Linked DNA regions of Macaca mulatta. The protein of the gene in region 3 purifies or fractionates together with the protein of the main gene of each other region. This does not show direct contact. Links are inferred from orthologs where the notes say so. Each region holds a gene or a part of one and is shown on either strand. Other genes may lie near its edges. The genes, in order: ATXN10, AP2A2, EGFR, CD44, DNAJA3, GAB2 and CDC37.

The links.
Region 1: the proteins of EGFR (region 3) and ATXN10 purify together in Homo sapiens (affinity purification with mass spectrometry; 3 studies listed by BioGRID and IntAct, with this or other methods). This does not show direct contact. The link is inferred for Macaca mulatta from reciprocal best matches to the Homo sapiens genes EGFR and ATXN10.
Region 2: the proteins of EGFR (region 3) and AP2A2 purify together in Homo sapiens (affinity purification with mass spectrometry; 6 studies listed by BioGRID and IntAct, with this or other methods). This does not show direct contact. The link is inferred for Macaca mulatta from reciprocal best matches to the Homo sapiens genes EGFR and AP2A2.
Region 4: the proteins of EGFR (region 3) and CD44 purify together in Homo sapiens (affinity purification with western blotting; 6 studies listed by BioGRID, with this or other methods). This does not show direct contact. The link is inferred for Macaca mulatta from reciprocal best matches to the Homo sapiens genes EGFR and CD44.
Region 5: the proteins of EGFR (region 3) and DNAJA3 purify together in Homo sapiens (affinity purification with mass spectrometry; 4 studies listed by BioGRID and IntAct, with this or other methods). This does not show direct contact. The link is inferred for Macaca mulatta from reciprocal best matches to the Homo sapiens genes EGFR and DNAJA3.
Region 6: the proteins of EGFR (region 3) and GAB2 purify together in Homo sapiens (co-immunoprecipitation; 3 studies listed by IntAct). This does not show direct contact. The link is inferred for Macaca mulatta from reciprocal best matches to the Homo sapiens genes EGFR and GAB2.
Region 7: the proteins of EGFR (region 3) and CDC37 purify together in Homo sapiens (affinity purification with mass spectrometry; 6 studies listed by BioGRID and IntAct, with this or other methods). This does not show direct contact. The link is inferred for Macaca mulatta from reciprocal best matches to the Homo sapiens genes EGFR and CDC37.

Annotation. Positions count from the first base shown.
Region 1 is NC_133415.1:5,818,441-5,822,435, reverse strand, and holds the start of ATXN10 (ataxin-10), read left to right. Parts: upstream 1-1,195; 5' UTR 1,196-1,211; intron 1,212-3,995. UniProt on the Homo sapiens protein: May play a role in the regulation of cytokinesis. May play a role in signaling by stimulating protein glycosylation. Induces neuritogenesis by activating the Ras-MAP kinase pathway and is necessary for the survival of cerebellar neurons.
Region 2 is NC_133419.1:821,238-825,183, forward strand, and holds the start of AP2A2 (AP-2 complex subunit alpha-2), read left to right. Parts: upstream 1-1,146; 5' UTR 1,147-1,334; coding exon 1,335-1,401; intron 1,402-3,946. UniProt on the Homo sapiens protein: Component of the adaptor protein complex 2 (AP-2). Adaptor protein complexes function in protein transport via transport vesicles in different membrane traffic pathways.
Region 3 is NC_133408.1:73,278,915-73,282,414, reverse strand, and holds part of EGFR (epidermal growth factor receptor), read left to right. Parts: intron 1-136; coding exon 137-498; 3' UTR 499-3,500. UniProt on the Homo sapiens protein: Receptor tyrosine kinase binding ligands of the EGF family and activating several signaling cascades to convert extracellular cues into appropriate cellular responses.
Region 4 is NC_133419.1:30,082,684-30,086,183, reverse strand, and holds part of CD44 (CD44 antigen), read left to right. Parts: intron 1-1,500; coding exon 1,501-1,629; intron 1,630-3,341; coding exon 3,342-3,473; intron 3,474-3,500. UniProt on the Homo sapiens protein: Cell-surface receptor that plays a role in cell-cell interactions, cell adhesion and migration, helping them to sense and respond to changes in the tissue microenvironment.
Region 5 is NC_133425.1:5,674,691-5,678,625, reverse strand, and holds the start of DNAJA3 (dnaJ homolog subfamily A member 3, mitochondrial), read right to left. Parts: upstream 2,801-3,935; 5' UTR 2,784-2,800; coding exon 2,573-2,783; intron 1,860-2,572; exon of another isoform or gene 1,845-1,859; coding exon of another isoform or gene 1,723-1,844; intron 1-1,722. UniProt on the Homo sapiens protein: Modulates apoptotic signal transduction or effector structures within the mitochondrial matrix. Affect cytochrome C release from the mitochondria and caspase 3 activation, but not caspase 8 activation.
Region 6 is NC_133419.1:78,843,459-78,847,403, reverse strand, and holds the start of GAB2 (GRB2-associated-binding protein 2), read left to right. Parts: upstream 1-1,145; 5' UTR 1,146-1,258; coding exon 1,259-1,336; intron 1,337-3,945. UniProt on the Homo sapiens protein: Adapter protein which acts downstream of several membrane receptors including cytokine, antigen, hormone, cell matrix and growth factor receptors to regulate multiple signaling pathways.
Region 7 is NC_133424.1:11,129,779-11,133,829, reverse strand, and holds the start of CDC37 (hsp90 co-chaperone Cdc37), read left to right. Parts: upstream 1-1,251; 5' UTR 1,252-1,315; coding exon 1,316-1,417; intron 1,418-2,599; exon of another isoform or gene 2,600-2,822; intron 2,823-4,051. UniProt on the Homo sapiens protein: Co-chaperone that binds to numerous kinases and promotes their interaction with the Hsp90 complex, resulting in stabilization and promotion of their activity. Inhibits HSP90AA1 ATPase activity.

The DNA.
Region 1 (3,995 bases), on a different chromosome or scaffold from region 3:
GAGACAGGGTTTTGCCATGTTGGCCAGGCTGGTCTTGAACTCTTGGCCTCAAGTGATCTGCCCACCTTGGCCTCCCAAAGTGTTGGGATTACAGGCATGAGCCATCGTGTCCAGCCCTTTTTTTTTTATAATTTCTATTTCTCTGCTGAGATTGATCATTTCTCTCTTGAGGTTTTTATTCACTGAAGTCATGTTTTGTTTTACCTCATTTAATTTACTTATAATCATTGCTTTAAAATCTGTCAGTTCTCACATCTAGTTCATCTCATGGATGGATTTGATTTTCTTTTCTCTTGAGAATGTTCTGCAATTTCATATTTGTTTTTCAAGTAACTTTTGGATTGTATTTTGATATTATTAATAGTAAGCTGTGGGGATTCTGGATTCTGTTGTTTTCCTCTGTGGAGTGTTGTTTCCTTTGTTTTCATAGACAATTTTCTTATGTGGGCTTGGGCTGAAAACTCTGTTTCTTCAGGGGTAGTTCAGATCTTTAGTATTTAGTTGAGCTACTTTGGGTCTATACCACATGATATGGTTTATTTAGTGGGCAGTTAGCTATATGGATAGAATTAATTTGGGGATCCCCTCTATCTTGGTCCATTTTCTGCTGCTTATAACAGAATATCTGAAACTGGGTAATTTCTAAAGAAAAGAAATTTGTTTCTTACAGTTATGGAGGCTGAAAAGTTCAAAATTGAGGGGCTGCATCTGGTGAGAGCCTTCTTGCTGAAGGGGACTCTCTCCAGAGTCCCAAGGCAGTGCAGGACATCACATAGTGAGGGGGCTGAGGGTGCTAGCTCAGGTCTCTCTTCCTCTTCTTATAAAGCCACAGACCCACTGCCACGATAACCAATTAATCCATTATTCTGTGAATAGATTAATCCATTCATGAGAACAGCTCTCATGACCCAATCACCTCTTGAAGGCCCTACCTGTCAATACTGCCACATGGGGGATTAAAATCTCAACATGAGTTTTGGAGAGGAGAAACATCAAACCACAGCACCCTCTCTGGCTCTTTCCCTTTTGGGATTTTTCCCATTCTCTTCAGTGTTCATATTTTCATACATTTACTTTTATGCTTCCCCAGGCCAGAAAGAATGCAGAGTTTTGCACATGTGCCCCCAACCACTGCTGTGCACATCCACGTCCCAGGCTAAAAGCTACAGAGATGTGAACCTACTTGTATAGCTCCGCATCTCCCTTCCTCCAAGTGAGCAGGTACTCCTCATCAGAGTCTGCTTCTGTTCACTCTCAAGCCCTTCAGGTGGTTGTTTCTTTGTAGTATATCTAGGTTTTATGACTATTTACTATGAAGCACATTTGTGTGGGGGGTCACCAAGTAGGGTCTTTGTCCATCTTACCCAGAAGTGGAAGCTTGTCATGACCTGCAGAGCACTTTGAACAGCCCTGGCCTAAACCACTGTCTCTGTCTCAATAATGACCCCATTCAGAATGGCATTTGCAAGTTTCTCTTCCATAGTTTTCTTTTTTTTTTTTTTTTTTTGAGACGGAGCTTGCTCTGTTGCCCAGGCTGGGGTGCAGTGGCTGGATCTCAGCTCACTGCAAGCTCCGCCTCCTGGGTTCACGCCATTCTCCTGCCTCAGCCTCTCGAGTAGCTGGGACTACAGGTGCCTGCCACCTCGCCCGGCTAGTTTTTTGTATTTTTTTAATAGAGACGGGGTTTCACCGTGTTCCCCCAGGATGGTCTCGATCTCCTGACCTCGTGATCCGCCCGTCTTGGCCTCCTAAAGTGCTGGGATTACAGGCTTGAGCCACCGCGCCCGGCCTCTTCCATACTTTTCTACCAGATGCTTATAATTGAGGTTCAATACCAGATAATGTCAAAACTAATAGAGGAATTCCCAGTTCAGGCAGAGGGAGCACAGAGTGCCGATAATATCCAAATATTGCTTGGTACTGATTGACTTGACAAAAGCTCACTTCATAAAAAACAGTTCTGGCTTTTACAGACTGTTCTCAATGGATTTCCCTTCTTCCCTGTCAATGGATTTTCTTTCTTTGCTGGCCTTTGACTTTCCGTGATCTTGGCTGCTGGCAAGTGTAAGGCAGAGGAGGTCCTTAGGCAGGAGATAAACCTGGGCCTGTTCCTACAGAGATGGTCTTTTGAGAAGCCTGGGAGCACAAGCTGGGACAGCAGAAGGCAAAAGTCCCAGGTAGTGTTATGATGGTTTGCAGCAGAGCCATGTCATGAATATTTCAATTTTTTATTTTTAACCCTATGAGACATTGTCGCTTTATGATTGTTTTGTACATTGGATGTTCATTTAGATGAAGCTGATGGTAAATACCATTCTCAGTCTTCTTTATTCCTTTCTGTGTCTCTCATCTTCCATCTGGGATTGTTTCTGTCTCTAATTCACACTCTTTTGTATTTCCTTTAGCATGGATCTGTTGGCAGTTATTTTTATTTTTCAGCACATTGAAGATCGCATTCCACTATTTTGATTTCCAGTGTTTCTGTGGAGAATGCAGCTTACCCAATCCTCACTCCTTTAAAAATAAACTGTCTTTTTATTCCCCTGTGGCTTCTTATCAGATTTTGTCTTTGTCTTTTTCCACAACTTCACTGCATGTGAATACATGGTGTGTCTCTATATAGATTTCTTTCCGTGTATTCTGCTTTCTGTTCATTGAGCTTCTTGAATCTGTGGTTTGGAATCTTTCATCAGTTTTGGCAGATTCTCAGCTATTATCCTATGTATTGCCTCTGTCCTGTTTCTCTCTCCTTTTGAGACTCCAGTTACATGTGTTAGACTTTCTCCACTTACTTTCTCCATCTCTTAGCTCTTCTGTATTTTTTGTATTTTAATTTCTTCATTCTGGATAGTTTCTTTCTAAATCTTCTAGTTCATTTATTCTCTCTTTAGGTTCTCTCTAATCTGTTTTAATCACATCAATTGAGTTGTTACTGTGTTATTTCTCATTTCCGTTCCAGAATTTTTATTTATTATATAAATACACTATTTCAATTTTTATAGTTCAATTTCTTGCTTGGACTTTTGAACTATTTCTTTTTTCTTTTTTGAGATGGAGTCTCACTCTGTTGCCCAGGCTGGAGTGCAGTGGCACAGTCTCAGCTCACTGCAACTTCTCCCTCTCGGGTTCAAGTAATTCTCCTGCCTCAGCCTCCTGAGTAGCTGGGATTACAGGTGCATGCCACCACGCCCAGCTCATTTTTCATATTTTTAGTGGAGACGGGGTTTCACCATGTTGGCCAGGCTGGTCTCGAACTCCCGACCTTGTGATCTGCCCGCCTCGGCCCCCCAAAGTGCTGGGATTACAGGCTGACCCACTGAGCCCGGCCAAATTATTTCTCTGAACATAGTAAATCTGTTGTGTCATTGCCATGTTTCATTCCAATAGCTTAAGTTTTTGTGGATCAGTTTCTGTTGTATGTTGCTTCCGCTGGTTCTTATAATATCTGGTTTCCCTGTAGAGTGAGTTATTTTTGTGTTGTTCACTCTATTTGAGAAGTATTTGTAGAAATGACTTGATGCTTAGGATGGCACATTCTTCCAAAGATGCTTTTCATTTGCATCTTTTGCATTCATGTGCCACCATTCTGGGTCTGTCTTAATCCCAAGTCAGATGTTTTGGTTGCATGGATCAACCAGGTGACAAAGAGGTTTTTGAAATATTTCATTTGGGTTTAAAATACAAGTTTTTCTCATTCAGAGGATAACTTTAAATAACTTAGTGTGACATTATCAGAAGTGAAACTTTTTCTATTTTATGAAGCTTCTTGTATAAGGCAGGGATTACATCTTTTCTCCACATTTGGTAGAACTCATATATAAAGCCAGCTGGTTTGAGGCTATATTTTGGTGCTTCATTTTCTGGAATGTACTTCCACCTTTGTTTGTCTAGTGCTCATATAATTATTTAAGATTCAGCTTACATGGTTTCTCTAGTATTTCTTCATCTCTCCAGCTTCCTAGCTCTTTATACATCTTTTTTTCTGACATTATTTA
Region 2 (3,946 bases), on a different chromosome or scaffold from region 3:
TCCTAGCCGGGCTCCACCAGGGCTAAGCTCTCATCTGGGGTTGTGCAAGTGAGCCAGGGTGGGGCAAAGTCCTGGCTGGTGGGTCTGGGCCAGTTCCAGGTACAGGGTCCAGATCCCCCCACTCCCGGAGGAGGGAACTTCCTCTTCAAAGCCATCTGGCTCTGGGAAGGACAGCGAGGCAGGGCCATGTGCTTCCGCACTCCCTGGGGTCTCTTCCTGGCCTAGGCCCAGAGCTGTGCAGCCTGGCCCAGAAGGTCCTCCCTCCCGCTGCGTCCACGGGGGGTCCCTAGGCCTCCAGCTCGCAGCGGTGCAGAGGGCCGGGGAGCAGAGGGGGCCCTGGCAACAGTGGCAAAAAGTCCTGGCGCTGAGGGACTGGATTCCACAGTGAGCTGCAGCCCCGGCCGCCATCACTGGGGTGGGGTGGGCGGTTGTTTCTCTGCAGGCCCAGGTGATGTGGTGGGGGCGCCTGGACTGCCACACAGACCCTGGGTTAGGTTGGGCACGGGGCCCGCCTGGCCCCCAGCTCGGGGACCGCAAGAGATGTGGCCCTGGCCGCTCAGGGCGGCAGAAGGGGCGGCTCAGTCCCAGTCTCAGGATACTGGGCTGGGGGAGGGTTTCCTCCCCAAAGGCTGTCCCGAGGCTGTGACCCCTTCGCCCAGAGCCCCGGCTTCCTCCTGGCGCCGCCCTCCCGGCCCTGGCCCACCCCGGACAAACAAGGCCCTGGCAGCGAAGCCCCTCCACTGCCCAGCGCTCACAGGTTGTTTATTCCAAGTAGGAAAACGGAGACCTGCTCGGGGCAATCTAGGGGGGCCGACGCCCAGGGCGAGGCTGCAGCGTGCGCCTGCGTGGTCGCCTCTTTTGCAGTGACCACCAACAATGAAGACGGCGGCTGTCCTGCTCACGCAAGTTCCCGCCCGGATCCACGCCCTTCCCGTGGGGGACGCGGGCGGCAGCGCCAACCCGGCGCGGCATCGGGACGCGAACCCGCGGCTCCAGCGGCTCCGTCCGTGGCGTCCGCCTGCATGGGGCGCCCCCGCGCCTGCCTCGACCGGCTCGTCCCCGCGCCGCGGACGCGCGCGCGCTGTCTCACGCGACACCCGCCCCGGCCGCCGTCCGTCGCAGCTCGCGTGCGTGCGCGTGTGTGCTAGTGCGGGCGTCGTGCGTGCGCGCGCGCGGCGGCCCAGAAAGCGGCGCTGGGAGCCTGAGGCGGCGGTGGTTAGTCGGCTCCCCGGCGGCTTGTCCGCGGCGCTGAAGGCGACCGTGCTCCCCGCTTCCCGCTCCCAGCGCTTCTCCGCCCAGGCCCGCCAGCGGAGGCCGCTCCCGAGCGCCGGAAGATGCCAGCCGTGTCCAAGGGGGACGGGATGCGGGGCCTGGCCGTCTTCATCTCCGATATCCGCAACTGTGAGTGGCGGGGGCGGCGCGGGGCGCGGGGCGCGGGGCCGGGGCTGTGGCCGGGGCCGCAGGCGGCTACGGGGTCTGGGAGCGGAGGTCCGGGGTGGGGGCTCGAGGCGGGGGTGCAGGCTGCGATGCGGGCGGGGCCCGGGGCCTGAGGGTGCGGGCGGCGCTCGGGGTCTTGGGGTACCGGGTCTGGGAGTGCGCGCCAGGGTGCGGAGTGGGGGTCCAGAGTTTGGGGGTGCGGACTGCGCTCAGGGTCTTGGGGTATCGGGTCTGGAGGTGCGGGCCAGGATGCAGAGCGGGGCCCTGGGTCTGGGGTGCGGGGTAGGGGGTCCAGGGTTTAGGGGTGCAGGGTCTGGGGGTTTAGGGTACGGTCCTTCATTCACATCTTCACTCCCGTTTGCTGGTCCGCGCGGGGGGCTGCGGCACCGCCAAGGGGGTTCCGGGCCAAGACGCCCCTCCCCAGTATGATGTCACCTCGGTCTTTCTAGTACTGGAGTGTTTAACCCAGCATTTTCCAAAACGGCGTGGATTTTAGCTCTGGGAGCAGAAATCTGGAAATCGGTGTCTTCCTAGGAAACAGCTTTGTGAGCTGGGTTCTGGCGGCTTATTATCCCCTGATTAGATCTCGCCCACGACGATTGAAATGACTCATTCCCGGAGGGAATCTGGACACGAGCAGGCAGTCAGCAGTCGGGGTGTGGGATGGCCTGGCTGCCTGCTGCTCCAATCACAGACCTCGTTCTCAACCCCATGCGTGTCCCCTCGGGGTGGAAAAAATCCACACCAAACCGTGAAACAAGCCAGGAAGGCTTGGCCTGTTAGGAGGATGTGCAGGGTGGCGGGGTGGGTGCACCGGTCCACAAATTAATTTGACTTTGGTGTGCAGAAACTTCTCTTGAAACAAAGCCGATTTCCTGTCTGGTGTGTTCATTTTTTTCCTTGTTATCCAGCAAATAGTTGACTTCATGGTTTTTTGTTTTTGTTTTTTTTGAGACAGGGTCTTGCTCTGGCGCCCAGGCTGGAGCGCAGTAGTGCCATCACGGCCCACCCAGCCTCCCAGCTCAAGTGATCCTACCACCTCAGCCTCCAGAGTCGCTGGGACTACAAGCGTGCACCACCACCATTTTCGTGTTTTTTGTAGAGATGAGGGTCTCATTGTGTTGCCCAGGCTGGTCTCGAACTCCTGAGCTCAAGTGATCCACCTACCTCGGGCCTCCCAAAGTGCTGGGTTTACTGGCGTGAGCCACTGCACCCTCATAATTTTTAGTGTATATTTTGAGGAATTTTTGTGATCTTCCCTTTGAATTCTCATCTCCTTAGACTGGGTGGAGGATCAGGAGGATGGTCATTCTCCCACACTCTGTGTAAGGATAGAAGTCCATCTAACCCTTCCCCTACTCTTTTTTTTTTTTTTTTTTTTTTTGAGACAGAGTCTGGCTCTGCCGCCCAGGCTGGAGTGCAATGGCCGGATCTCAGCTCACTGCAAGCTCCGCCTCCCGGGTTCACGCCATTCTCCTGCCTCAGCCTCCCGAGTAGCTGGAACTACAGGCGCCCGCCACCTCGCCCGGCTAATGTTTTGTATTTTTAGTAGAGACGGGGTTTCACCGTGTTAGCCAGGATGGTCTCGATCTCCTGACCTCGTGATCCACCTGTCTCGGCCTCCCAAAGTGCTGGGATTACAGGCTTGAGCCACCGCGCCCGGCCAGCATAGAGCTGGGTGCAGTGGCTCACACCTGTAGTCCCAGCACTTTGGGAGACCAAGGCAGGTGGATCTTTTGAGCCCAGAAGTTTGAGACCAGCCTGGGCAATGTGGTGAGACCCTGTCTCTACAAAAACCATGAAAATTAGCCGGGCGTGTTGGTGTACACACCTATAGTCCCAGCTACTTGGGAGGCTGAGACAAGATCACTTGAGCTCAGGAGGTCAAGGCTGCAGTGAGCTGAGATCGTGCCACCGTACTCCAGCCTGGGTGACAGAGTGAGACCTTTGTCAAAAAAAAAAAAAAAAAAAAAGGCTTAGAAACACAGCCTCAGATCAGTACTTTTACGAGTAGCATTTTTTCTCTTGCTTTGTCACGTAATGAGACTAACATGCATTTTGTAAAACTAAGTGTGTGTATTATTTGTTAAGGGGACTCCTCGGGACAAAGGCTGAGCACTGTTAAGTTAGCTGCGATGTCTGTCCTTTCATTTTTGAGGAAAATTGTGTTAGGCAGGACGATGAGATTGGAAGGCATTTCCTTAGACAACAAGTCACCCGCTTGTTAGATATATTGTCTGTGCGAGGGCCTGCGTTTGACAGGATGGCGCCTACCACAGGGAGCGCAGTACAGCCGTCCTCCCTTATTTGTGGTTTCACCTTCTGAGGTTTTAGTTACCTCTGGTCACCTGTGATCTGAAAATAGGTGAGCACAGTACAATAAGATATTTAAAGACACCACATTCATGTAACTTTTATTACAGGATATGATTACAGTTCTCTTTTATTATTGGCTGCTGCTAATCTCTTATTGTGCCTAATCTGTAAGTTAAACTTTTTCCTAGGTATG
Region 3 (3,500 bases):
AGAGGGTCCTCCCAAGGCTCCTGCTCCCTGTCATAAATCTCCCTGTTGAAGACATTCATGGGGTTCAGAACCCGGGGATCTTGCATGGGATGGTGCTTTGCTGATTACTTCACCTCTGATTTCTTTCCACTTTCAGAATACATAAACCAGTCTGTTCCCAAAAGGCCCGCTGGCTCTGTGCAGAATCCTGTCTATCACAATCAGCCTCTGAACCCTGCGCCCAGCAGAGACCCACACTACCAGGACCCCCACAGCACCGCAGTGGGCAACCCCGAGTATCTCAACACTGTCCAGCCCACCTGTGTCAACAGCACATTCGACAGCCCTGCTCATTGGGCCCAGAAAGGCAGCCACCAAATTAGCCTGGACAACCCTGACTACCAGCAGGACTTCTTTCCCAAGGAAGCCAAGCCAAATGGCATCTTTAAGGGCTCCACAGCTGAAAATGCAGAATACCTAAGGGTCGCACCACAAAGCAGTGAATTTATTGGAGCATGACCACGGAGGACAGCATGAGCCCTTAAAATCCAGACTCTGTCAATACCCAGGACCAAGCCACAGCGGGTCCTCCATCCCAACAGCCATGCCCACATTAGCTCTTAGACCCACAGACTGGTTTCTCAACGTTTACACCGATCAGCCAGGAAGTACTTCCACCTCGGGCGCATTTTGGGAAGTTGCAGGTGCATTCCTTTGTCTTCAAACTGTGAAGCATTTACAGAAACGCATCCAGCAAGAATATTGTCCCTTTGAGCAGAAGTTTATCCTTCAAGGAAGTATATTTGAAAAAAAAAAAAGTATATGTCAGGATTTTTATTGATTGGGGATCTTGGAGTTTTTCATTGTCACTATTCATTTTTACTTCCATGGGCTCTTCCAACAAAGAAGAAGCTTGCTGGTAGCACTTGCCACCCTGAGTTCATCCAGGCCCAACTGTGAGCAAGGAGCACAGGCCACAAGTCTTCCAGTGGACGCTTGATTCCAGTGGTTGTGCTTCAAGGCTTCCACTGCAAAACACTAAAGATCCAAGAAGCCCTTCATGGCCCCAGCAGGCCGGATCGGTACTGTATCAAGTCATGGCAGGTACAATAGGATAAGCCACTCTGTCCCTTCCTGGGCAAAAAAGAAATGGAGGGGATAGAATTCTTCCTTAGACTTACTTTTGTAAAAATGTCCCCACGGTACTTACTCCCCACTGGTTGACTAGTGGTTTCCAGTCGTGAGCGTTAGACTGACTTGTTTGTCTTCCATTCCATTGTTTTGAAACTCAGTATGCTGCCCCTGTCTTGCTGTCATGGAATCAGCAAGAGAGGATGACACATCAAATAATAACTCGGATTCCAGCCCACATTGGATTCATCGGCATTCAGACCAATAGCCCACAGCTGAGAATGTGGAATACCTAAGGATAGCACCGCTTTTGTTCTCGCAAAAACATATCTCCTGATTTGAGGCTCAGATGAAATGCATCAGGTCCTTTGGGGCATAGAGCAGGAGACCACAAAAATGAAGCTGCTCTGAAATCTCCTTTAGCCATCACCCCAACCCCCCAAAATTAGTTTGGGTTCCTCATGGAAGATAATTTTCTCCTTTTACTTCACTTTAAAAGCTATTTACTCAGAGTATATGTTCCCTCCAGGTCAGCTGCCCCCAGACCCCATCCTTACCCTTTGTCAAACAAAAAGTGTCTCCGCCCTGAGTCAGCTATTCAAGCACTTACAGCTCTGGCCACAACGGGACATTTTACAGGTGCGAATGAGAGTGGCATTATGAGTAATGTGGAATTCAGGTAGTAAATATGAAACTAGGGTTTGAAATTGATAATGCTTTCACAACATTTGCAGATGTTTTAGAAGAAAAAAAGTTCCTTGCTAAAATAATTTCTCTACAATTGGAAGACTCAGCTAGTTAGGATCCCACCTTTTTTCTTAATCTGTGTGTGCCCTGTAACCTGACTGGTTAACAGCAGCCCTTTGTAAACAGTGTTTTAAACTCCCCTAGTCAATATCTATCCCATCCAATTTATCAAGGAAGAAATGGTTCAGAAAATATTTTCAGCCTACAGTTATGTTCAGTCACACACACATACAAAATATTCCTTTTGCTTTTAAAGTATTTTTTGACTCCCAGATCAGTCAGGGCCCCTACAGCTTTGTTAAGAAAGTATTTGATTTTTGTCTCAATGAAAATAAAATTATATTCATTTCCACTCTATTATGCTCTCAAATACCCCTAAGCACCTATACTAACGTGGTATGGGTATGAAAGGTACAAAGATAAATAAAACATAGTCCCTGATTCTGAGAAATTTACAATTTAGCAAAGGAAATGGACTCAAAGATGCTAACCTTAAAACAACCTGACAAATGCTAGACAGGACCCGTCAGCCAGGCACTGTGAGAGCACAGAGCAGGAAGGTTGGGTCCTGCCTGAGGAGACCTGGAAGGTTCATCAGGGAGGCCTCACAGGAGGATGACCAGGTCTCAGCCACAGGGGAGGTGGAAAGTGCAGGTGCAGCAGGGGCACCCTGATCAAGGAAACAGCTGCCAGACGCCTTCACTGCTGAAGTCCGCATAAGGCTGAGGTCAGTCGCCCGAGCAACCTGCTCCCTCTAAGCCAGGGGATGAGCTTGGCTCATCCCGCAAGATCCCTAAAAGTTGCATCCCCCACGGGGATTTTGAGCTATCATCTCTGCACATGCTTAGTGAGAAGACTACGCAACATTTCTAAGAATCTGAGATTTTGTATCGTCAGTAAACCACTTCCATTATTCATTCACCTCAGGACAAACAGAAATATTTCAGTCAGAACTGGGAAACAGGACTCACATTCTGCTGTCACGTATGTGTCAAGAAGCAGATGATTGATGAGGCAGCTCAGTTGTAAGCGAGTCACATTGTAGCATTAAATTCTAGTATTTTTGTAGTTTGAAACGCTAACATAATAAAAGAGCAACAGCTATTCTAGCTTTCTTCTCCTTCATATTTTAATTATCCACCATAAAGTTTAGTTGCTAAATGTATTAATTTTAAGATTGTACTTCCCAAAATAGTTCTCACTTCATCTGTCCAGGGAGGCACAGTTCTGTCTGGTACAAGCCGCAAAGCCATTGGCCTCTCCACGGATCTGGCGACCATGGTGGGCAGGTCGGGAGAGGAGCTGCCCAAAGTCCCATGATTTTCACCTAACAGCCCTGTTCGTCAGTTCTCAAAGCTTGGACTCCATCCCTGAAGGTCTTCCTGATTGATAGCCTGGCCTTAATACCCTTCAGGGAGCCTGTCGGCTGTTTCTTCCTCAGGTTCCTGGAAGACCTTACCCCATGACCCCAGCTTCAGATGTGGCCTTTGGAAACAGAGGTCAAAGGAAAGTGAGGAGCTGAGAGCTCATATTCACAGGTGCCCCCAGCGTTCGTGCGTCTTCTTGCATCATCTCTAAGGAGCTGCTCTAATTGCTCCATGCCTGTCACCCCATGAGGGATCAAAGAAGGGATGAGTCTTCTA
Region 4 (3,500 bases), on a different chromosome or scaffold from region 3:
CTATTGTCAAAAGGTGGTGCTTGGGGTGCATTAGGACTAGAGGGTAGGTGAAAATTCAGACAGAATGTAACTTGACAAAGAGAAGACAGTGAAAACTGTAACAATTCTCTTATGAATATTTGCGAAACTCAAAGGGATCTGATTGGTGACCTCTGGTCTTTATCAAATTAACATCACAACTTCTAGAAGAAAGTCAACCTTCATCTTTTACAATAGAAATCATATGTTTTGTGAACTCATTCCTATTTAGGCTGAAAACAATAAAGAGTTATGGGTACTTTAAAAACTCATTAAAGTAGTGATAGAAGGAGTATAGAGTCCTTCTATGCAGTCACACACATACACTTCCTTATTTCTTTTATTTAAACTTTGAGTAACATGGCAGTCTATGTTTGGGTCAATATTCCTTTTTATGTAATTACATTCAGTGGTTTTTCTAACTTCATTATTGGTTGGGAATTAGTGATTTAGTCAGTGGTAGGTAAAACTTAAGATTCTGGCTTTTTTCCCCTCCCCCTGGATAGCCAGTTAACCCAATAATGGCTTGGCCAATGTAAGGGTAAAATGAGGACTGTTCTATTTTTTAAATGTCATTGCCGTCACCAAATCACACATATCATTTTCTAAGATAATGAAATACAACCATTTTACAAGTTACAAAAAAAATACTCTGGCTTGGCAAGTTAATAGGCTCTCATTTTCTTGATAAAACAAAATTGCTTTAAGTTGCTATAGTTAAAAATGTTGGTGGCTTTCTGACTTTTCCTGAAGGCACCTTGATGGAATTTTATTCTGTTGATTTTGTCCTTTTTAAAATAATGGTTGAAATTTTAAGCCTGTCACACACTATTATTTATATAATGCCTCAAACTGGCTTGGATAGTTTTTGTCAACTGAATTAATTTTGTTAAAAAGTGATTTTAGCAATTTTAGGCGCCATATGAACATTGCCACATAATGTGTTAGTGAAATAGCATTCAAGCCATCCCAACACCTTTCCTGCTGGGCAAATCCACTGCTGGTGCATTTCCAGTGTGTGCAATTATGGGTTACATGACCACCATTTGAGACGGTCTCCTAATGCGCTGATCTTGTCAGTTGTTATACAGTATTTTCCTTTCATCAGAATGACTGGAGCGAAGAGGTTATTCTTTGAATGGTTTTCTAAGACAGGGTATGTGACGCCATACACTACAGTAAAATAAAAATAATGATAACTCATAGAACTCTGAGAATTCATCAGCTATGGTCTGCTTAGTCCTATGGTTTTGAACAAATCAAAACCTCTTTGGACCACAATGTTCCCATCTGAAAAATTAAATGTTTGGATCATTTTATTTCTAATATCCCTTTCAGAATATCAGTGGCCTGTTTCCTTGCTGCTTTTCTTTTCTACCTTCTGTTCCCATGTGTATCTGCCCTTAAAGTAGAAAGATACGTTGACAGCTATTGGCAAGGAAAATAGAAAATTATGTCTCCCAACTGATATTCTTCTCACAGTCCAGGCAATTCCTAGTAGTACAACTGAAGAAACAGCTACCCAGAAGGAACAGTGGTTTGGCAACAGATGGCATGAGGGGTATCTCCAAACACCCAGAGAAGACTCCCATTCGACAACAGGGACAGCTGGTAATGGGTGGTTTAACAAGTAAATTTGGATGGCAACTTCCTTTTGGGTTAAATGGTAGACATTGAGGACACTGAACAAAAGGACATTGGAGGAATTGTCACAAGATGTTAGGTTACTTAATAAATTATGCTGCAGTTAACACAGAGCCAAACCTTAAAGGCTCATAACAAGTCACCTGAACAGGAATGGATACAAGCCAGTTACGAATAAGAACAGGAAACACAGAGAACATGCCCTTGAACATGTCTCTTTCACACCGAGTTCTGGGCATTATCTAGTGAGATTGTAGCGGAGGCCCTGATAAAATATCCCCTTTTGTCGTACAAAGGAATCTACTCTAGAATATGGGTCCAGACTTTACAATGTGATTCTGCAAAGTCTGACTTGTGAGAAAGCATTTTGCTAGAACTCCAGTGTTTGAAGAAATAGAGCCAGACATTATGTGAAAAATGACACCTGTCTGATGTCATTTGGCCTTTTGGCCATGCCTGTTTGGTAATTTGTCCTTGAGTATAAACAAGCCATCTTCTCTATTCTTGAACTGTGAGATTGTGGAAATTGGAATCAAGTCTTATCATCATCTCTAAGTGATACCAGATGACTTGGCTCTGCAAGCTCCCATGCAGGATATTTTGTCTGTGTGACATAAGTATTGAAATGTGTCCTGCCTTATCAAGAATGTGAATTCCATATTCTCACTTGGTATCAGTGAGAAATATTCCCATATTTCTATTTGCAATATAGAAGATAATACGTCATGTACTTCTGGGGCATGGCAAGTTCTGAATGAATTCCTGGCAGAGCAATGGATTCTGTGACTGTCTATGTGGTGTGGTTGTTGCTAAGAGGATGCTGTTGCAATCTTTTCTACCTATACTTCCTCATTGGCTCAGAATGAAGCAAGGCATGTGCTGCTTTCTTATATGTCATTTATGCATATTCTCACTTGGTATCAGTGAGAAATATTCCCATATTTCTATTTACAATATAGAAGATAATGCGTCATGTACTTCTGGGGCATGGCAAGGTCTGAATGAATTCCTGGCAGAGCAATGGATTCTGTGACTGTCTATGTGGTGTGGTTGTTGCTAAGAGGATGCTGTTGCAATCTTTTCTACCTATACTTCTTCATTGGCTCAGAATGAAGCAAGGCATGTGCTGCTTTCTTATATGTCATTTATGCCATAAATCCCGTTGTCAGGTAATGCTTCTAACGGATTCCATTCATGCTTTTGAGATAAATGGCACTGACTTTCATATTGATCACATGGAAAGCTGTTACCTGATTCCTTTCCTGAGATCACTTCCAGCCTAATGTGCATTCAGCTGGAATATGGTTGTCTCAGAATAACATAATGCACTTGGGCTTTTACACTTCTGCCATTAGGGTACGGTGGCAGCATGGCACAGGTCAAGAACTACTCCTTCATCTTCCTATGATGTCTGTAACTCACCCTCTCTGCACTGCAGGAGTCGTTAATGCTTTTGTGTCCTCCAGTTCACATGCTGATTGCTAAGAAGAAAATGAGCATGAGTGAACCCAAACCTGCTGAAACATTTTGCGTTTATGCAACTTCCTTGCCCTCTATACAAGGAAGATGGTTTCATTGTCTTGTCTAGAGAATAAAGTCTTTTTAAACAATAAAATCAGTGTATTCCTGACCAAGCGTCCATTAACACTTTGACAATTGCTCCAACTGCATGGTCTCAGCAGCCTCAGCTCTTACCAGCCATCCAATGCAAGGAAGGACAACACCAAGCCCAGAGGACAGTTCCTGGACTGATTTCTTTGACTCAATCTCACATCCCATGGGACGAGGTCATCAAGCAGGAAGAAGGATGGGTAATAGCCTCTGAGATTTTTATATAT
Region 5 (3,935 bases), on a different chromosome or scaffold from region 3:
GCCTGGGCGACAGAGCGAGACTCCGTCTCAAAAAAATAAATAAATAAAATAAAATAAAAATAAAAATAAAATAAAAATAAAAATAAGGCTGGGCACGGTGGCTCATGCCTGTAATCCCAGCACTTTGGGAGGCTGAGGTGGGCAGATCACCGGGTCAGGAAATTGAGACCATCCTGGCCAACACAGTGAAACCCCATCTCTACTAAAAATACAAAAAATTAGTCAGGCATGGTGGCGGGCACCTGTAGTCCCAGCTATTCGGGAGGCTGAGCCAGGAAAATGGCGTGAACCCAGGAGGCGGAGCTTGCAGTGAGCTGAGACAGTGCCACTGCACTCCAGCCTGGGTGACACAGCGAGACTCCGTCTCAAAAAAAAAAAAAAAAAAAAAAAGTTCATTCATTCTCTTGGCCAGGTGCAGTGGCTGATGCCTGTAATCCCAGCACTTTGGGAGGCTGAAACAAGCAAATCACTTGAGCCCAGCCTGGGTAACATGGTGAAACCCCATCTACAGAAAACTAGCTGGGTGTGGTGGTGCATGCCTATAGTCCCAGCTACTTAGGAGGCTGAGGATGGAGGATGGATTGAACCTGGAAGGTCGAGGTTGCACTGAGTTGTGATTGTGCCACTGCACTCCAGTCTGGGCAACAAGAGGCCCTGTCGTAAACAATAATTAAATAAATAAATAAATAATCATTCTCTCAACCAAACACACATCCAATCTCTTTGTTCTCTGCCATGTCCTCAGCACCCAGAACAGTGGCTGGCATACACCTGGCCTCAATTAATACCTGTGAATGAATGAATTTTCAAAGAGAAGCTCAAAGGGATTAAATAATACACCCCACTCACACACACTGGGAAAGTTCACCCCTGAAGCCCAGTCTCTTTTCTTTTTTTTTTTTGAGACGGAGTCTCACTCTGTCGCCCAGGCTGGAGTGTAGTGGCCGGATCTCAGCTCACTGCAAGCTCCACCTCCAGGGTTCACGCCATTCTCCTGCCTCAGCCTCCCGAGTAGCTGGGACTACAGGCGCCCGCCACCGCGCCCGGCTAGTTTTTTGTATTTTTTTAGTAGAGACGGGGTTTCACCGTGTTAGCCAGGATGGTCTCGATCTCCTGACCTCGTGATCCGCCCATCTCGGCCTCCCAAAGTGCTGGGATTACAGGCGTGAGCCACCGCGCCCGGCCCCCAGTCTCTTTTCTTTACATTGCATGAAGTAACCACAATTACTGATACTTTAACAACTGTCTACTATGTAAGTATTACAAACTGGATTGCAATAGGAAGTTACTTGGTATAAATTCTCAGGGCCCTTTATTAATCTTTATACATTTATACATAGCTTAAATATCATCTGCACAAATTCTGGAGGACACGAAACTAGCACAATTCAGGTACATACAATATACAGCACAAAACACACAGCATAAGAAAACATGGTTAAGCAGGGCACGGTGGTTCACGCCTGTAAACCCAGCACTTTGGGAAGCCAAGGGGGAGCAGATCACCTGAGGTCAGGAGTTTGAGACCAGCCTGGCCAACATGTAGAAACCATCTCTATAAAAGACAACAAAAATTAGCCAGGCGTGGTGACATGTGCCTGTAATCCCAGCTACTTGGGAGGCATGAGGCAGGAGAATCTCTTGAACCCAGGAGGCAGAGGTTGCAGTCAGTTGAGATCCAGCCACTGCACTCCAGCCTGGGCAACAGAGCAAGACTCTCACAAAAAAAAAAAAAAAAAAAAAAGAAAGAAAGAAAAGAAAACATGGCTAAGCACTTCAAAGCTTAACGTATAATTCAGTATCACCTCAGGCAATGAAATCAAGGCTCCACCTCTTTGTGACATTTGTAAGTGGTTTAACATCTAAGCCTCGGTATCTTTATAAAATGGAATAACAGTGCCTCTCATGTGGAAATGTGATGTAAGGGGGGAACGATGCCTGGCCAACAGTAAGTGCTCAATAAATGTCTGACTGTGTTATTATTACAATCACCAACTAAGGACTTCTAAAGATTGTTAACTGTGCCCTTGAATTAGCATCACGTGGTAGAAAGAGCATACGCTAAGACACGACAGCTATGGGTTTGAGACAACTCTTCCCGTCTAACTTCATGACCTTGGGCTGGTCGATTCCTCTGTTGAATCTCAGTTTCCCATTCTCTAAAATGGGGATGACGACAGGCATCTTGCAGGGTTTTTGTAACAAAGTACCTAGGCCTCTCCGAATGGCAGTTAGCTCTTCCCTTCCGCTACGGGCCAGAAGGTGGAGAGATGGGAAAGAAAGCGGACGAGGGAGCAGCGGCCCCCAGAAATGTTGACAGAGAGGTGAAGGTTCACGGTCTACGGGGCGTTTCATCACCGCCGCCGGAGGCTCCACGCTTCTCTCCCTTCCCTGACGGCTGAGTAGCCTCTTAGGCCTCCCCGCCTCCTGCCTGCCTGTGTCTCCGGCAATTTTGCATCCGGGTCGGAAGACACCCTCCACCCCACTACTCCCGCAGCCGCAGTCACAGCGAGGAGACTCACTCCTTTCTAGGCCCTGAAACCGCCACTCGGGAATTGGAACCTGCCCTCACCTGTGAGGCTGACACCAGGTCTCAATGTCAGCAGCGCTCTGGGGCCGCGAGAGGTCAGGGAAGACGCAAAGGCGGGGACGCTCAGCTTGCGGCTCAGCCATGCCCCCACCACGCCCTCCCTGGGTGGCCGAGCCCCTCTCCCCAGTGCAGCCGGCAGCCGCGGGGTCCCCACAGCCACCAGCAACCAGCGTGTGGAGCACCGCGCCGCCATCTTGGCCGGGGGACACTGCGCCTGCGCCGCCCGGCTCTAGGGGGCCTCGCGGGAACGGCGGGCGCGCGTTAGAGGCGCATGCGTGGCGCATGCGTGGGGGCACGCGCAGCCGCACCCAACGCGCCTTCCGGGGAGCAATCGCCAAAACGGGGTTTGCTCTGAAGAGTGTTGTTCGGTAGACTTGCCCTGCAGAACCTCGTTATTCTGTGCTAGACAATCAGTGAGTGTACGTTATCGGTGTAAGAACCTGGTTGAATGTAGCCGAACGTAACTGGTCCGAGGGTTCTGGCTAAGGGCGAGACTACAAGTCCCGGCATGCAAAGCGGCCCTCCGTCGCGCCGCTCCCACTATGCAGTGCATGGTTCCCTCTTGCTGACCCTGAGACTTACGGCGAATTGCGTGAGCTTTACTCACGTGGTCTCCGCGCGCTTCTAGTAAATCTTCGCCGCCACCCCCAAAGCCTGGCCGGAGTCTCACTTTCTCTTAGGCTGATTCCCCACCCGCCTTCTCTAACAAGACTCAGTTCTCTCCTTTTTTTTTTTTTTCCTTTGGGCACAGTCTCGCTCTGTCGCGGCTGAAGTGCAGTGGCGCGATCTCGACTCAATGCAACCTCCGCCTCCCGGGTTCAAGCAGTTCTCTGCCTCAGTCTCCCGAGTAGCTGGGATTACAGGCGCGTGCCACCACACCCGGCTAATTTTTTTGTATTTTTAGTATAGACGGGGGTTTCACCATCTTGGCCAGGCTGGTCTTGGAACTCCTGACCTCGTGATCCACCCACCTCGGCCTCCCAAAGTGCTGGGGTTACAGGCGAGAGCCACCGCGGCAACCTTAGCTCTCTCCTTAAGCATGTTAGCCTTTTCCAAACCTGCAGTGAACTTGCTGGTTCAGAATGGGAGCCGTGCTGCCCAAAAACTAAATTAGCAAAACTTGTGAGCGCCTACTGTGTGTCATGCATGTTCTAGAATATCGGGGATACAACGATGCATGATACACCATCTTTGCTCGGGAGGAGCAAACAAATGACCCGAGAGAGGCTCCTTACCAACTAATAATGTTAAATGCTATCATAGGAATAAGCACTGTTACAGGCATACAAAGTGAAGGAGTCATTCCATTTCTAAAATGGGGGAGAGGAAGTTTGGGATGTCAGGG
Region 6 (3,945 bases), on a different chromosome or scaffold from region 3:
CCCCCAACCCAATCAAGATCTGTTGGACCAAATGATGTCCAACTGCTTGAAACATCTCAGCTGCACAGAGACAGAAATGAACAAAACAGCTTTAGTCTAAGGTTGTGTGGGGCAGTGCAAGATGCTGCTTCTCCAATTCATCTGTCCACACAGCACGGTTCCCCATTGAATAAACAGGATACTATCCACTTATCAGAGAAGTTAGGGAGGACCTGCCTTTTAGTGCTGCTTGGAGAGACACTGTCAATGAGCGGGGACGTTGGGGAATTTGGACCCCAATTTCTTGTTCTTCTACACTTGACCTTGCCTTCCAATTCACTATGAAATATATTTACTAGGTTTGCTTCTTCCATTCTACAAATCATGCGAGTTTTCTATACTAAACTGTTTTCCTAGAGGCAATGTAGGAGGGACTCAGCTGGACTTTGTTTCCAGGCAATGAGAGGCTCCCAGGTTGATCCCATTAAGGCAATGCCCTCATTTTGAATAGGGGATGACTGGGACCCCTCCTCCCCCACACACCTGAATTGGAAACTTGGCTAGGCTTTGTACAAGCCCTTGCCCTTAGGCAGTCCATAAAATGGGAACAATACTGAAGACAATCCTGTAAGCCAAGAGTGCAAAGGCTCCGGCGCGTAGTAGGTCCGTCTCCTCCTCCCGCCGAGGGGCGCCAGAGTTAAGGAACTTCTTACTGGGAAGGGGTCCCTCCTTTCAGCAGGAACCTGACCCGCAGAATGGATCGGAAACGCGAGCAACCCTCGGATCCCTTCCCCGTCGACGCTCGGTGAAAAATCGATCGACGACGGAGGGCGCGCAGTCCCTTCTCCGCACGCCCGCCAGCGCCAGGGGCGCGGCCGCCTCCCCGGCCTCCGCGCCCGCAGCTTGAGGCCTCAGGAGAAAGCGAGATTCCGGGGCTCGCCGGCGGCGGTGGCTTTCTGTGTCCTGGCGGATCCCCAGCCCCGCGTCCGCGTGCGCGGCGGCCTCGGGGGCGCGGCGGGAGCGGGCGTGGCGAGCGCGCCGGCCTTCCCGCTGCAACTGCCCCCGCGGCGGCCCGGCGGAGAGTGCGGATTGCGCGCGCTCGGGGCGGGGGAGCGGGCGCGCGCGAGGCCGCCGGGCGCGCGCCGCGCCGCCTAGTCCCCGCCGGGCCGCCCGCCCCGCCCCTGGCCTCCCGCGAGCTGCGCACCGCCGGCCGCTGCCCCAGCTGCCCGAGCCCGCGCCCTAGTCCGCGCGACCCAGCGGCGGGCTCCAGGCCGGCAGCATGAGCGGCGGCGGCGGCGACGTGGTGTGCACCGGCTGGCTGAGGAAATCGCCTCCCGAGAAGAAGTTGAGGCGCTATGTGAGTGCGGGCGCGGCCGCCGAGGGGCGGGCGGGCGGGGGGCGCTCCGGGGCCTGCGGAGGGGCGGGGGGCTCCCGGAGGGGCGGCAGGCTGGGGAGCTCGGGCCCGGAGCCGCGGGGGCCGGGGGCGAGGAGCGGCCAGGGTCGTGTGGGGTACCTGCACACCTGTCACAGGTGCGCCGCCGAGGGGCGGGGCGGGGCGGGCGGCAGGTTGAGGCTGCGGCTCCTGCTCCGCCAGGCGGGCGCGGCGTCGGCGCCTCCCCAGGCGGTCTGCCCGTAAACTAAATATAGTGTCGAAGTTTGTATTGATGGCTTCTGGAGACCGAGAGAGTTGACTCTCGGGGCTGGGGCTCCGCGGCGGCCCCTAGCAGCTTCAGCTCACAGGTCCGGGAGAGGGCGGGAAAGGGGGGCGTAGGCTGTGGGCCCGCGCGGACGGCCCCACAAAGGGCGAGCGCCTCACGCCCTCTCCTTCCCTTTCTCCGCCCGCCCCTCCCGGCCGCCGGCCTCACTCCGTCCGCGGCTGCATCACCGGCAGCGTCAGCGGCATGTGCAGCCCTTGTATTAAGTGACTCATTTGTTTGTCCCCCTTCTCTCCCTTTATTCCGTTCGTCTCTCACAGGCGCCTCCCCCGACCCCGGTGTGACACTGCAGTTTGGTCCCCGTGGCTGGCCCGGGTTTGGGACCTGGCAGCTCCCGGTTGTCTGGGGTCGGGAGAGATCGAGGCTCTCGGCGCCCAGGTGTTGCCAACCCACAGTGTTTACTGACATCGCTGGAACAGCCTCTTCCCTCTAGGTGGGGAACTGGCAGTTTGGGGGAGGTGGAACGGCGTGGCGCTGAGCCGTGGAGTTCTGGCTTTTTTTTTTTTTTTTTTTTTTTAACCCCTCTCCCCAGAGGATGCCTTGCCTGGTGAGGTCAAAGTACAAGATGGTGCCAGTTACTGAGATTTTGCCGAAATGGTCCTAGGGTAGTCGCGGGAGTTTGGAAGTGGGGGTAAGGTGGCTGGAAGGTTTCAAGGTCTCTCATCTGCTCCCTCTCCTTTTCCCATGAAATGCCCTTGTTTAACGGGCTGTGGTGCCGGACTCCGGGATCACTCCCACAGCCTGGAAGGGAGCCGTTGCCTCCAGCTGCAGTGCATCAAGGGAGCTCGGAATAGACCCTGCCCTCTGTCAGCTGCACCAGTGGCTGTCCATGGGGGGAGAAGCAGAAGCCTACCAGAATTTCCTGTCTTGGCTCCCCAGATCAGAATCAAGGGACTTCTGGCCTCTGGACTGAGGAAGTGACATTCTGTTTTTCAAAGGAAGTGTTGTTGTTGCGGAGTGCAAGTGTGTGTGTCAATGAAATCAGGCTCTTACGTAGATGTTTGCTAGGAAAAAAAAAATTCTGATTTAGCACATGACTTTTGAAAGTGGACGTGGATTTATAGGAGGGATGAAGCAGTGAATTGTTCATCTCAGTTTGAAAGCTCATTTTTAGGAGTGTCTATGTAGCCAAAGTATAATTATTAAGAAATACACTTTTTTCCTCTTCAGGCTTGTATCAGTTCGTTAGGAAGGTTGAATACTTTAATTAGGATTAAGGAGCAGTGATTTACTATTAACAATTTAATAAATATTTTTAAAACTTTGTCCCAAAGAGCTTCCAAAAATTATCTTTACAAATAGATTTCCATACAAGCTAGTGGAATAGAGTGTCCACAGTAAAAAAAAAAAGAAAAAGTGACCCTTAGTTTTCAAATTTGAACACTACACTAAACCTTGAAACTTGTTTTTGAAACAATTTGCAAACAGTATGACATTGTATCTCCATTTGACTTACCGCTCCTTGAACGCTCACCCAGACTCTCTTTATGACCCATTTCTTGGGTGTTTTTGTTCCCAAACAACTTTAGTTCAAAAAAACCAGGTTTGGAGGCATTTGGGTCAAGCACCTTTTTCACTCATTTGAACGAATCTAGAATCGTGTGATGGCCTTAGCCTCTCTTTCCCATCTTCGATGCACCTTCAGCCCATCAGGTGTCAGACCTTAACAGCTTTCAGTAACAGCTTTTCTTAGGCCAGGATGTGATGTGTTCACTTACATGACTGGAAGCCTCTGCCCTTTCGAAAGTTCAGTTTCCCCCCAGTTGAAACTGCTGATCTGTGTAACCTTAAGCTTCCGGGGAACAGTATTCTTTTACGTCTACTGTTTTTGGGGGTATTAAGAATTTTTGCATCCTGTTGTAAGTTAAAACTCTGCTAGTTTGCTTATTTCAGTAGAGGCCCGAGTTCATCAGAACCAAACTTGGAAAGTATTTCCCAGCCTAATGGCTGTATATTTACCCCAAAGTAGCTGCTGCTTCTGGTATACATCATAGTCATGTTATATTGTACTGAGAAATCCTCTTTATAAGAATGCCACAAGCATATGAGATAAGGGGAAAAAGTAGTTGATGAACTAGGTTATAACTATTTAAAACGATTTTTTAAAAAACTGATTTAATTCGAAGGCTGGGCGCAGTGGTTTATGCCTGTAATCCCAGCACTTTGGGAGGCTGAGGCCGGCAGATCACTGGAGGTCAGAAATTCGAGACCAGCCTGGCCAAAACCCCGTCTCTACCATAAATACAAAAAT
Region 7 (4,051 bases), on a different chromosome or scaffold from region 3:
GAGGGGGAGGAGATGGGGACTCCTCCGCCCCTGGCCGCCCACTCGCGGGTTTGAATGAAGCGCGAGGGGGAGGGGCGGCAGCGGGAGGGCGTTTTTGTCCGATGGCCCCTCCCCCTCCATGCACTGGGGAATTCCCCCCATCTGGAGACTTTCGCTCGCTCTCTCCGGGCACCGCCTGCGACGTCGGCTCCAGGGGAGACTGGGAAGAGGCGCCCCTCACCCGAGTGGCTGGAGCTCCTCCTATCCAGCCTGACCCCCGATGGAGCACCCTTTAATCTAAAATAATCCTGGCCCGAGACTGCAACGCGGCCTATTATCCTGGTATAAAAGCGCGGATTGGGATGCGTGGAAGTGTGAGGCCAGGGCCCTGCATGCTTAGAGTAATGGAGTCCTTAGAGCCCCGGCGGAGGAAGGGTACCCCCAGACAAACGGGGAGGGACTATGCGTGACCCCAGACTGTGACGAAAAGGAAAGCCCCCTTCCACCCCTCCAAGATTCCCCCACCAAGCGCGGGACCAGGAATACGCGCCGTAGGCTAGACTCTAGCGACACCCAGCGGTCACGCGGGGTGGGGCGCCGAGACCCGTTATGGGGGGTCCGGGTGATTCCAAAGTGTGTGTGTGTGTGTGTGTGTGTGTGTGTATGTGCGCGCGCGCGAGTCCTTGCTGCTAATGGCCGGAGCTGGAGGACGAGGAGAAGGCTCCCAAGGCAGAGCCACAATCTCCCCTCTATGTTTAACCCCTCAAGGGGAGGGCCATACCACCCTCGATTTAGACACCCCCAGGGCAGGTCCAGTCCTCCTCGGGCTGAGAAAGTCCCAGGAGTCGTCAGGCGCCCCTCTCCAGAGCAGGCTTAGGTCCCCGTTTACGAAGGGCAGGGGGAGGGCCTTCCCGCCGTGTCCGTACCCCTTGCAGACGTCACTGCGGCGTAGCTGAGGGGACAGTCCTCTTAGTCTCATCAACCGTCCTCTCCCTGCCACCCCAAACGCCCACCGTGGAGAGGCGGGAGATGAGGGGGGCTAGGAGTTGAAGTGCCCACTCGTATGCCCCCAGGAGACCTAGCGGAGCCCCTGCGCCCGATAAGGTGGAGTCTCTGCGGGAACTCCAGGGGACTGGAACGCTTGCGCAAGGCCCTTTAAGGCAGAATGGGTAGCCAGTGCCGCTGCCGCGGTTACTAGGGATGTGACGTCAGGCATGGGCGGGGTTTCCCCCGCACTCGGGCGGAAGCGGAAGGGGCGGGGCTCCGCGCACCAAGTCTCCAGCGCCGCCGCCGTCGCCGCCAACCGAGCCGTAGCGGGCTGGGCCGCCAAGGCAAGATGGTGGACTACAGCGTGTGGGACCACATTGAGGTGTCTGATGATGAAGACGAGACGCACCCCAACATCGACACGGCCAGCCTCTTCCGCTGGCGGCATCAGGTAAGGCGCGCGCGCCCATCCCTTTCCCCACTCCCGGACCCCGCTCCAGAGTTGTGGTCCCCGATACTGCCTAGGGACCCCACTGTTCACACCTAGGATTCTCACCCCCTCAGTCTGGACTTTCAGGAGCCTCGATTCAACTCCAGGACCCCAGTACCACTGGTACCCTGAGTCCTTGCTCGGGATCTCCCCCCAACCCCCTGCTCCGATTTTTGCGTGGGATTCCCTATTCACCCCCTAGAACTTCTTCAGTCTGGACTCCCTTAGACGAGTCTCCCTAATTCTGTTCGGAGTTAACATTTACACCCAGAACTCTGCCTCAAAGTTTGGTCCCCAAATTCTTCTAGATGATCCCTCATCCTATTCGGGTATCCACTCCCTATCTGGGATCTCACGTCGCCCTCCCCCACCTCCGTAGTCTGGACCCCCAATACTTTGGTCTGTCCTGGGATCTACTTTCCGGGATCTTGATCCGGGGTTCCCATTCAGATCCGGAGTCGCCACTCCTTTTCTAAACGGTACAAGGAACTCTGTGCTACTCTGATATTCCTGTCCCTGCCCACACCCGGGACCCCCTTCCTAGAGTGTAGAGCCGTCCCCCTTCAGGATCCTTAGTCTCACCGAGGACTTCGGTTGTGGAACCTGGTTCCCCTCTGGATCTAACTACCAGCTCCACCCCGACAGAGCCTCACATTCCAGCCTCTCCTTTGGCCTCGGGTAGACCCATTTCCCATTAGACCAGGAAATCCTGCCCACGTGGCTTCCGGCCCAGCCAGAGCCCCTGCCCCTACTTGGTATTGCAGACCCTGTCACCACCCACCTCCCAGACTGGCTTCCTGTATGAGCCTTGGCCAGCATTGGAAACTCCCCTAACTCAAGCCCAGGACCCCAAACCCACCCCACCTTGTATCCCCAACCTGATCGCTACTCTGTGACCCAAATTGTCCCTGCTCTTTTCCAGGGACTCCTGGTCTGATTCTAAATTCACTACCCCTTCTTCTATCGGACCACAACAGAACCCCCAAATCCAGACCCCAGAATCCCAAGTCTGAGTGATCCATGTCCTACCACCCCCTCAGTGCTCACAAGCCAATGGGGTGACTAAGACTTAAAGGTTTAACCTCCTGCTACCCCAAATCACATATCAGTGTCTGTTGTACTCTTTTTTTTTTTGAGATGGAGTTTCCTTCTTGTCGCCCAGGCTGGAGTTCAGTGGCACAATCTTGGCTCACTGCAACCTCTGCTTCCCGGGTTCAAGCAATTCTCCTGCCTCAGCCTCCTGAATAGCTGGGATTACAGGCATGCGGCACCACGCCTGGCTAGTTTTGTACCTTTAGTAGAGACGGGGGTTTCTCCATGTTGGTCAGGCTGGTCTCGAACTCCTGACCTCAGGCGATCCACCCACCTCGGCCTCCCAGAGTGCTGGGATTACAGGCGTGAGCCACTGCACCCAGCCATGTTGTACTCTTAAACTAAGGGCATATACCTTTCAGAACCTTCTAGTGAGGATCTCTTACCCCACCCTCTCATAGGACAACTCCCCATCATTTATCCAAGAAACAACTAGAAGTTCCCTTCCCCATCATTTTGGAATACTCCAGAATACGGCATTAGTCTCTTTATCTAGCTCCCAGTCCCACCTCCAGACCTCTTCCTTAAATCCTGAGTCTCCTGGGTAGTGTACCTGCCAAGCAAGCCACTGGAGTGTGGGAAGAAAGTTCTAGCGCTTCTATTTCTTGCCGTGTGTAACATTTTATTATGAAATATTTAAGACTTCCACAAAGCTCCAAAGACTATTCTTGGGAAGACCTATTTCTGTCACATAAAGAGGTTAATCTTTACTACTGTGGAGAATGGTTTGGTCCTGCCGAGTGGGAGGGCCCCCCTCCTGCAGCGTAGTGTACCTGCCACACCCTCCTCCCTCTGGCACGGAGCTTTTCCTGTCCTACCGCTGAGAACCCGGTGGTTGTAGTGGCACGTAAGGGAGGCAGGGGGCTTCAGCGTCTCCAGCACAGGTTCAAGGACAGGCAAGCTTGCGTTCCAATCCTAGTCCTGCCTCTTGCTGCTTCTTTCTTTCTTTGATGTGGCAAGACTCAGGCCTCCCTGATCCCGTATGAAACCTGGGATACTATGACCCCACCTCCCTGAGACTTTTGTAAGAATAAATTAAGACTGGGCAGGAAAACTTGGGGCAGGTTTGGAAGGAAGCATTGTGGAGGGGAAGGAGAGATCGCTGTGGTTCTGAGCACAGGCCTGACTAGGTTCAAATCTCAGCTCTGTGTATCACTCACATGCTGCGTGAGTGCCAGGGAATTGTTTGATTGCTCTGTGCCTGAGCACCTGAGAATCTGAATGATGTCCACCCCATAGGGTTGTTGTAAGGGTTACCTTATTCGTTTAATATTTGTAATCCTTTTGGGGCAGTAGCTATTACCGTCATCATCATTTAAATAATTTTTGTGAATGGTTAAAAAAAACTTCCACAGCCACATGTGGGGACACATGCCTATAGTCCTAGCTACTCAGGAGGCTGAGGCAGAAGGATCATTTGAGCCCAGAAGTTCAAGTCCAGCCTGAGCAACATAGCAAGACCTTGTCTGTCTTTCTTTTTTCTTTTTTTTAATTTTGATTTGT